2 linked regions of the Arabidopsis thaliana genome follow. Each later gene encodes a partner of the first gene's protein in a complex. Each region holds a gene or a part of one and is shown on either strand. Other genes may lie near its edges.

Region 1 (4,858 bases):
CCGCCGGCGCTAAAACCCGGCACCGATGTGTCACGAGGAGCCAGCTTCGCCGTCGGGTCCGCTTCCATTCTTGGATCTCCAAAAGATTCTGTAAGCTCACTTAAAATATTTGTTAATCAATCGTAAAGCAATGTCATAATAAAGATTCACATTTTTTTGGTAGTTGGCTCTGAATCAACAAGTGAGGAAATTCAATCAGATGATATCAAATTGGAAAGTGGATTACATTCAGAAATCAGTGTTTATGATTAGCATTGGTATGGAAGATTACTACAACTTTACCAAAAACAATCCTAATGCTGAAGTTTCTGCTCAACAAGCTTTCGTTACTTCTGTCACTAACCGGTTTAAGAGTGATATCAACGTAAGTATTTTCATCCAAAACTAATCAAAAATTAATACGAGTTAGTGATATAGATATGTTGTTATAATGATTAATTGCAGTTGTTGTATTCATCTGGAGCTAGTAAATTCGTCGTACACTTGCTAGCGCCATTAGGTTGTTTACCGATCGCAAGACAAGAATTTAAAACCGGTAACAATTGTTACGAGAAACTCAATGATTTGGCCAAACAACACAACGCTAAAATTGGACCGATTTTGAACGAAATGGCGGAAACTAAACCGGATTTCCAATTCACCGTTTTCGATTTCTACAACGTTATTCTTCGCAGGACACAAAGAAACATGAACTACCGTGAGTTACAATTCGCCATTCAAAGTTCCACACTATCATTAATATCGTTATATGCTTTTACTTTGAAGCAAACATTTAATAATACTTGTTGTTATGACTAATTAGGGTTTTCCGTGACGAATATATCGTGTTGCGGTGTTGGGACGCATTATGCATATGGTTGTGGTTTACCTAACGTGCACTCGAAGTTATGCGAATATCAAAGATCCTACCTTTACTTCGACGCACGTCATAACACAGAGAAAGCACAAGAAGCGTTTGCTCATCTTATCTTTGGAGCTGACCCAAATGTTATCCAACCTATGAATGTTCGTGAGCTCATGGTGTATCCTGTTAATGAGCCTATGCGTGAGTTTTGGGAGGATCCAATGGATGAGAAGTTATCGTTAGTCCAATACTAGTGGATCTGTCTACCTCGTTTAGTTCTTGAGCTCACTATTTTCTATCTCTAGATCACGTACGAGCTCTTGGAATTTGTAATGTATTGTTCTTAATTAGTTGCGAAGTAAAATAATTAATACTGTTTAAATCCTCAACTCTGCTTATTTTCATAAGAAAAAAATAATCAATTAATGGGTAATTTGATAGACCTGAGAATATAACCAAAGCATATATATGACCTGCTTTGTGCTCATATTAGACAAGTTTCGGGCCATACGCACTCATTAGAACGAAATGATTGAATTTGGTGGAATCATTTAAGACTTATGGATTTCAAATTACATAACTCACTTGAGTCATTTTATTTACTTTTTTTTTTGTTTTTTTTTGCAATTCTTGTTGTAATGAAATAGTGGAAATGGTTTCAATTTTTAACTGTTCCAAAATTATTTTATAATAAGTGTTGTTTTAGGTTTTAATATAAAATTTTGGTTAAAGTTCCAAATTTTATTTATACTGTTTTAATGTGTTAACTAGAATGAATTAATCATAGTAAAACAATTTTTTTTTAGTTTGTAGTATTTAAAAAAAACGAACACTTGATCTGAAATGCATGGAGTATTTTCTTAGTTACGTTTTCATAGGTGAGAGGTTCCATTTGACATGTTTTTTTATATATTTTATTGAAATATAGGAATATGCATTTAAATCTTCTTCTGCCCTCAATGCATGATCGATCTTCTTGATACTAGTAACAATAAATGTATCTTGAAAATTAAGAATAAATAAAATAGAAATGGGATACCAGTTGTGCATTAACTAGGTGTGTAGAAAAAAGAAAAAAATGAACCTCGAGCAACACGTTATCATATATTCATATTTAAATAACAATATTTTTCAATTGCTAAATTGCTTTTTTCTTAAAAACAATCTTTTTGATAAAAAAAATTCAGTTGCCAAATTGTGTAGTATTTACAATATAAATATAACGTATCGGTCTACGAGCTAAGACACAAAAGCAATCTTCTACTCATTTACTGTTCTGTTTCACTTTCTCTCTCTCTGTATACTCTCTAAATGATGGCAAAAAACTGTAATTTAGTCAGTGTTCTATGTGTATTTTTGGTATTGACCCTCTTTAACAAACCCATCACCGTCGCCGGGCAGAATATTCCGGCGGTGGGCTTGTTCACCTTTGGTGACTCCAACTTCGACGCCGGAAACAAACAGACTCTCACCAAAACCTTACTCCCTCAAACTTTCTGGCCGTATGGAAAATCCCGAGATGATCCCAACGGCAAATTCTCCGACGGCCTCATCGCTCCAGACTTCCTCGGTGCGACATTTTTTTGTTTGTATAACTGAAAGATCTTAATCCGAATTCTACAAAACATAAAACATGCAAAATGATATTTTTTATCATTTAAAACGTTAGTACAAATGACGAGTGTTGGATATTAGTTAATTACTAAAAATAACGGTTAAAATATTTTAAAAATAAAAAAGGTTCAGCTGGTATTCACTTTTCGAAACACATGGATTTTTTTTTGATTTTTTTTCGTTAACAGATTCGGAGATTATATTTGTATTATATGAAAACCTAATATATTTAATGTACAAAATGCAGCTAAATTCATGAGGATTCCGATCGTGATCCCGCCGGCCCTTCAACCGAACGTCAATGTCTCACGTGGAGCTAGTTTCGCCGTCGCTGATGCTACTCTACTCGGAGCTCCGGTGGAATCTGTAAGTCAACTTAATTTCTTACTATAATCATCTTATTCAAAATAAATGAACCATGTCTGTCTTTTATTGACCCGGTCATACATAGCCGGTCCTTAATTTACCTTCAGGTGGCCTTAGCACAATTGGAAGATGGCCTTCTTAATGATATAAAATATATTAAAGGTTTTACCAAATTACTGTTTTTATTTTTTTTGGCGAATGATTTAGTATATATCTTCTGGTCTAAAGCATGTGCTTGACCTGTCTTATGGACTAGCCTGGATCATACTAAACGGCATATTTTTGTTTTATTAAAGACATCTGACTTTAACTGCAATTATAATTTTGTCTTTTTGTCTTTTTTTGTTTTTTTAGTTGACTCTGAATCAACAAGTGAGAAAGTTCAATCAAATGAAAGCAGCAAATTGGAATGATGATTTCGTGAAGAAGTCAGTGTTTATGATATACATTGGTGCAAACGATTACTTGAATTTCACCAAGAACAACCCTAACGCCGATGCATCTACTCAACAAGCTTTTGTCACTTCCGTGACCAACAAGTTAAAGAACGATATCAGCTTGTTGTATTCATCAGGAGCGAGTAAATTTGTGATCCAAACCCTAGCTCCATTGGGTTGCTTACCCATCGTCAGACAAGAGTTCAACACCGGGATGGATCAATGCTATGAGAAACTCAACGATTTGGCTAAACAACACAACGAAAAAATTGGACCGATGTTGAACGAATTGGCTAGAACAGCTCCTGCATCAGCTCCTTTCCAATTCACCGTCTTTGATTTCTACAACGCGATTCTTACTAGGACGCAGAGGAACCAAAACTTCCGTGAGTTGGTTAATTATCATGGTTTAATTTCATTTTTAAATTTTTTTATAACTTCTAATACCATGTGTTTAATATTTGCCATTCTTAGGATTTTTCGTTACGAACGCATCGTGCTGCGGAGTTGGGACACATGATGCTTATGGTTGCGGTTTTCCTAACGTACATTCGAGGCTATGCGAGTACCAACGGTCTTACCTATTCTTCGACGGACGTCACAACACTGAGAAGGCGCAAGAGATGTTTGGTCATCTTCTTTTTGGAGCCGATACAAATGTTATCCAACCGATGAACATCCGTGAGCTTGTCGTTTACCCTGCCGATGAACCTATGCGTGAGTCTTGGGTGCCCCCAACGTCAGCCACCGTTCAACTCAGGGAGAGCCGCGGTTACGAGTATTACTGAGTCTCTAAAATCAATATTTAGGGATCGATCGGGGTTTCTATAAGGGTTATGAGTCAAATTATAACTGGATCAATATCGGAATCTTGAGTAGTTTTAATTTCCAATGTTTTCATGTTTCTCTAGTGAGTTTTCCTCCATAATAAAAGATTGATCTCTGCAACTCTTACCCCTTGCAAATCTTTTATTTAAAAGAAACAAAACTTTTACATAAATTTATTTCTTTTTTTTGTCAACCACATATTAAAAGGTAATTCCATAATTAAAAAAAGAAGGCACAAGAAGCGTTTTCTCATCATCTTATCTTTTGGAGCGGACCCAAATGTTATCCAACCTATGAATGTTCGTGAGCTCATTGTGTATCCTGTTAATGAGCCTATGCGTGAGTTTTGGGAGGATCCAATGGATGAGAATATCATCGTTAGTCCATGACGTCGACGTCGATGCTAGTGAATCTATCTAACTCGTTTAGTTCTTGAGCTCACTATTTTCCATCTCTATACCATGAACGAGCTCTTGGAATTTGAAATGCGCTGTTATTAATTTGTTGAGATTTAAAATAATAATGTAACCTCAACTCTGTTTTTTCCATAAGAAAAATCTCAATGAGTAACGTGATAAACCTGACAATATGAACCAAAGCGTGTCCAATGACCTGCTTTGTGCTCAGATTAGACAAGTTTCGGGCCACATGCACTCCATTAGAACAAAATGATAAATTTTGGTGGAATCAATTTAAGAAGGTAGTGGATTCAATTTGAGACCTTTTTTACCCTCTTTTTTTGTTTGCAATTATTCTTGCAAGGTAATAT
Region 2 (5,364 bases), on another chromosome or scaffold:
CTTGTAAACTTTGTTCCAATTATTTTTTTGCCTGATAATCTCTGACTATATATGTTATTTCTTATTCTTCCTGGATTTTCAGATTGGAATGGGAAAATTACACCGAAATCATGATGAAAAGTGATGGAAATTGCCAGGTAATTAATGTTTCTATATCAAACAATCAACTTGATATATATTTTTGATCGTATTATGAATAACCCTTTTTCATGTTTTTGTCAATAATTCTATTTCAGTTCCGTGCTTTGGCGGATCAACTTTATCAAAATTCGGATTGTCATGAACTTGTTAGACAAGAAATCGTAAAACAGGTAATATCAATCTTCAAACTTTTGATTGTTTTTTTCATACGTGTATTAATGTCATATGATGATTGATTGATTGATGACTCTCAGCTTAAAACTCATCCGAAGATTTACAAAGGGTTTGTTGATCATATGGACTTCTCCCATAAAGAACATGTCATTGTCCACTAATTCCCAATGGGGCGATGAAGTGACTTTGAGAGTGGCTGCTGATGTGTATCAAGTAAAAATAATACTCATTACATCAATCAAACTTATTCCATTTATGGAGTTTTTGCCCAAGTCTCAAAAGGAACCGGACAAAGTCATTCATATGAGCTATCTAGCTGGGATCCATTTCAACTCCATCTACAAAAAAAATAAAGAAAAAGGTTAACGTTCTCTTCCTTCTCCATTGTATATACATCTCATCTCCTTACTCTTGATTTGAGGCTTTGAGCAATATTGTATCATTCTTATTCTTCGTCTTGTTGGCTGCTTCAGGTTCACGTTCATCTTCATCATCGAGTTCTGCAGTCTGGATGAAGCTACAGAGGAAGAAGGAGAATGAGGCGAAGAAAAAGGAGGAGGAGGAGAAGGAAAGGAAGGACATGGAGAAGGAGGAGAAGAAAAAGGACAAGGAGGATAAGAAGAAGGATAAGGAGGATAAGAAGAAAGCCAAGGTGCAGAAAGAGAAGAAGGAGAAGAAGGAGAAGAAGAACAGAAATCACCACTTTCACTATTCTGAATGATTTGTTTTGATAAATTAAGTGTATCTGCATTTGACAAGTTGTATGTTATTATTGGGATCATTGTGGTTGTTTTGACTCTTTTATGTTCTTTTCGAGCTTATTCTAGTTTTGAGCCTTAGATACTGATAATCATAAAACACAACATGATAATGTGAAAGAGTCATCATGACATAACATCAGCGTCCCAAAATAACTTGACCATCGTCTCCATGGTATCCAACCGTCGATCCTCAACGACTCCAAAAAGCAAGGACATGAATATATGATGATGATAAGCCAAACTTTTGCATGAACACAGTTTATACAAAATTTAAATAACTGTTAAATTCATTTGAAACTTTAATGAATGATATTTCTGACAGTAACTTAGGAAATAAAGCTTATACACCGTTTTAGTTTGAAGATAATAATTCTAAATCTGTTTTCAAAATGTGCAGTCAAAAAGATTCTTAATACTAAATAGGAGATTTTGGTGGGAATCGCAACATTAACATCATCAAATTTGTTTTAGTTAACAATATATTGAATTTGGTTTATGCTGTTTTGATGAATTGTTTTGTTCATCTGTCGTACTTTAAAATATCTCTGCATCTAGAAAGTTGTATGCTATTATTATATATTGCACTCGTAATGGACTCTAATTATTTGTTGCATTTGTGAGGGAGTCTCTCGTGTCACACGAGTTGATTATTAAAATGATTAATTAAAGACAATCAAGAAGACCTTGTATGCCAAAGATTGTCAATAAATACACACAATTCAATACCCATAAGCTTCATCTCCTTCCATCATTCAGAGCTCAATAATTAACTGGTTATCTCTCTCCCTTCAATTTTTTTTTTTTTTTTTTTTTTTAAAGTAACTCCTAGTTTCCACTACTATGTATGTTGCTTCACAAAATGTTTTTAAAACAAGAAGTAGCTCTTTATATGTAGATATGTATTCTTGAATATATTAGATTTAACAAACACTTTTAAACCTAATTGATTGATTTATATTACACCACATCACCAATAATAGAGCTATCAACATCAAACAGTAAATATTTACCCATGATCAGTTGATTGTTCTATTTGTGTTTCTTGGATCATTTTGGTGTTTTTGCTATGTATTTGAATAGGCTATACAGTGTTATCATGGTATTTATGTATTACTAACCACAAACCAGCTTTAAAAACTATATATAAAGCTGTACATATATACTTTCGTTTTTGGATTATCTATATAAGAAGTAATTTTTGCATTTTACAATATTTTTTAGATTCGAAATGGCGAAGATGTACCGGAAGTTGGCACTCTGCGGTGGTGAGGGAGGACAAGAATGGGACGACGATGTATATGAGGGTGTAAGAAAAGTGTATGTAGGGCAAGATCTCAACCGTATCACTTACATCAAGTTTGAGTACGTGCAGGAAGACGGCGAAGTAGTAACAACTGAATATGGGACAACAAATCAGCACCCTAAAGAGGTTCTCATTGCATTTATTCTCACCCTTAATTTTTTGCGATACTAGTAAATTACTCTTGTGAATTCGGATTAACGTTGGATAAATCCTTTAAGACATAAACAAGAAGAAGCAAGTATTTCTGAGGCGGATACCCTTTAGTGACTCTCTAATTTTTTTGTATTACACTACTTGTGTAAATGAATAAGACACAAACACTAAGACAACGTTATAAAACCAAAACTCAGATACTGTATATTAGGACTAGGAAATCTTGAGAATTATCCTAAACCTATCAATATTAAATACTATAAATTTTATTGAATATATGTTACTATTACATACAGTTTGTAATTCAATACCCGGACGAACACATCATAGCAGTGGAGGGAAGTTACCACCAAGTGGCTCTCATTGCCACAGAGGTGATTACGTCCCTCGTCTTCAAGACCTCAAAGGGTAGAAAGTCTCCATTGTTTGGTCCAAACTTACTTGGAATTACGACCGGTACAAAGTTTGTTTTTGAGGATGAGGGAAAGAAGATCGTAGGGTTTCATGGACGGGCAGGTGATGCTGTCGACGCTCTTGGAGTTTACTTTGTATTGGATACCACGCCGTTCCCTCTTTACAAGCTTGATGCCCAAGGTGGTACAGACGGGCGTGTTTGGGATGATGGTTCTTACGATGGCATTAAAACGCTGCGTATTGATCAAGATAATTCTCGTATCACTTATTTAGAGGTTGAGTACGAGAAAGACGGGGAAGCAAAAACATGTAACCATGGGGGGAAAGGAGATACACCATCCGAGGTAACTTTACTAGTTCTTCTTATACACGACTAGTTCAATAATTTCTCAAAAATGTTATAAATTGTTAAACTCTATTTATATGTGATCATTAGTACAACGACATAAATTAGGTTCCAAATATCAATGATTAATTATTGTGTTTGTAGATTCTTTGCAGTAGTATGAAGTATAACTCTCACACACTCCGGTTCAAATTTTTGTAGATATAATTGACACATGTATTTAGATCTCTTAAGACAAAAAGTCTTCTTATTTTGTTGCTTCTTGTTGCAGTTTGTGCTTGGTTACCCAGATGAATACATCAAATCGGTGGAAGCAACCTATCAGAAGCCAAACATTTTTAGCAATACGGCAATTACGTCACTTAAGTTCTTAACATCAAAGGGGAGAACATCATTCTTTGGGTATAATGTGGGTAAGAAGTTTGTGTTGGAGCAAAAGGGTCATAGGCTTGTCGGGTTCCATGGAAAGGAAGATGCAGCTATTGATGCTCTTGGAGCATATTTTGGACCTGTTCCTACTCCTACTCCCTTGATTCCATCTAAGAAACTACCAGCGATAGGCGGCAACGAAGGAGTTACATGGGATGATGGTGTCTACGACGGTGTAAGGAAGATACTTGTAGGACAAGGTAACGATGGTGTATCCTTTGTCAAATTTGAGTACAGTAAGGGCAAAGACCTTGTACCCGGAGATGACCATGGGAAGAAGACATTACTCGGAGCTGAAGAGGTCATTTAAAAACAACAATTTTTTTTTTTTTTTTTCAATTCATTCTAGATTATTTACACTTATCCTTTGTTGGTTTTGAATCTTTGCAGTTTGTGCTTGAAGATGGTGAATATCTCATGAACATAGATGGCTACTACGATAAGATCTTCGGAGTTGAGGAACCAATAATTGTATGTCTTCAGTTTAAGACCAACAAAAGGGAGTCAATGCCGTTTGGAATGGATTCTGGTAAGAAGTTCTCGCTTGGAGAGGAAGGCCACAAGATCGTTGGATTCCATGGACAAGCTAGTGATGTTGTTCACAGCATCGGAGTCACTATCGTGCCCATCACCACCACCGAGTGAAAACCAGTTAGTCATATATACTACATGAAACTTCCAATAAGATTGGAGTGTGTGTGTGTGTGTGTTCTCTTTACTATGTTACTTTTAATACGTGGTTGTAAGTTCAAGTAACTTACTGTGTGCTAATAATTCCAATAAGATTGGCTTGTGATTTCTTGTTATTTACTGCCAAAAAATTAATCTGGTTCTAAAAATCTACATGCCTATTAATTTCAATAAATCCCCTAATCAATTCTAGTTATTTTATTAGTTAGCATAAATAGAAAAAAAATACCACATTATTATTACAAATCACTAAGATTTATTAGTCCACATTATATTTTACTGATAATTATCAAAGCATGGTACTATTTAAAACCTCAAACAAGTTAGCAATTAAAAATCTCACAGAGACTGATTATCTTATTTGTTTTAATTAAGAGAAAGGCAAAAACAAAATTGAGTAATGCTTGCTTACCAAAATATACAGCTAAAAAAGACAATTTTAGGCCCACAATAAAAAACAATCAAAAAGGCCCGCTCCTTCAAAAAGATTTAAAAAGTGAACGGACTCAATTTCCCATATTACCCTTCATTGCTACTCGAATTTACGGAGAAACCCTGTTTCTCTGTCCTTACGCCTTTCTCTCTCCGTTACACTGCCGCCGTAACGCTTTCTTCCTTCTTGTAAAAAAAGTCTCTCCGTTTAACTAAACGCCGTAAAAAAACTCAGCTTTGATAATATCGGTTTTGATTTTTGATTGAGTTTCCCTCCATATCTCCTCGATTTCCGATTTTGAGGAATCAATCTCTCTGTTTATACGGTAAACTTCATAACTCCATCGATTTTTTGGTTTCTCTATTTTGAATTTCAAACAAAAAAACTGTTACTGATCCATATTTGTATTTGATTGATCGTAAATCCTCTGAAAATTTTCTTCTTTGTTTTCTTCGCCACTGAGAGACTCAGGTTCGATGCTCTGCTTCGTTTTTTAAGGTTTTTTTAGTGGAAAGGTTTA

Evidence for each region.
Region 2: AT1G54010 (region 1) and JAL22 share a complex: the UniProt entries of both Arabidopsis thaliana proteins name them as parts of the PYK10 complex.

Annotation. Positions count from the first base shown.
Region 1 is NC_003070.9:20,158,045-20,162,902, reverse strand, and holds AT1G54010 (GDSL-like Lipase/Acylhydrolase superfamily protein), read left to right. Parts: upstream 1-2,038; 5' UTR 2,039-2,155; coding exon 2,156-2,414; intron 2,415-2,705; coding exon 2,706-2,824; intron 2,825-3,178; coding exon 3,179-3,647; intron 3,648-3,735; coding exon 3,736-4,049; 3' UTR 4,050-4,314; downstream 4,315-4,858. Other genes in the region: AT1G54020 (GDSL-like Lipase/Acylhydrolase superfamily protein), read left to right, coding at 1-90, 164-364, 445-697, 803-1,098. UniProt on the Arabidopsis thaliana protein: Involved in the control of the PYK10 complex size and possibly substrate specificity. May be exported from the endoplasmic reticulum upon interaction with MVP1.
Region 2 is NC_003071.7:16,413,264-16,418,627, reverse strand, and holds JAL22 (jacalin-related lectin 22), read left to right. Parts: upstream 1-1,782; 5' UTR 1,783-1,849; intron 1,850-1,890; exon of another isoform or gene 1,891-2,297; 5' UTR 2,298-2,304; coding exon 2,305-2,505; intron 2,506-2,828; coding exon 2,829-3,290; intron 3,291-3,563; coding exon 3,564-4,022; intron 4,023-4,111; coding exon 4,112-4,366; 3' UTR 4,367-4,594; downstream 4,595-5,364. Other genes in the region: AT2G39320 (Cysteine proteinases superfamily protein), read left to right, coding at 111-137, 237-311, 457-676, 789-1,036. UniProt on the Arabidopsis thaliana protein: Inhibitor-type lectin that may regulate the correct polymerization and activation of BGLU23/PYK10 upon tissue damage.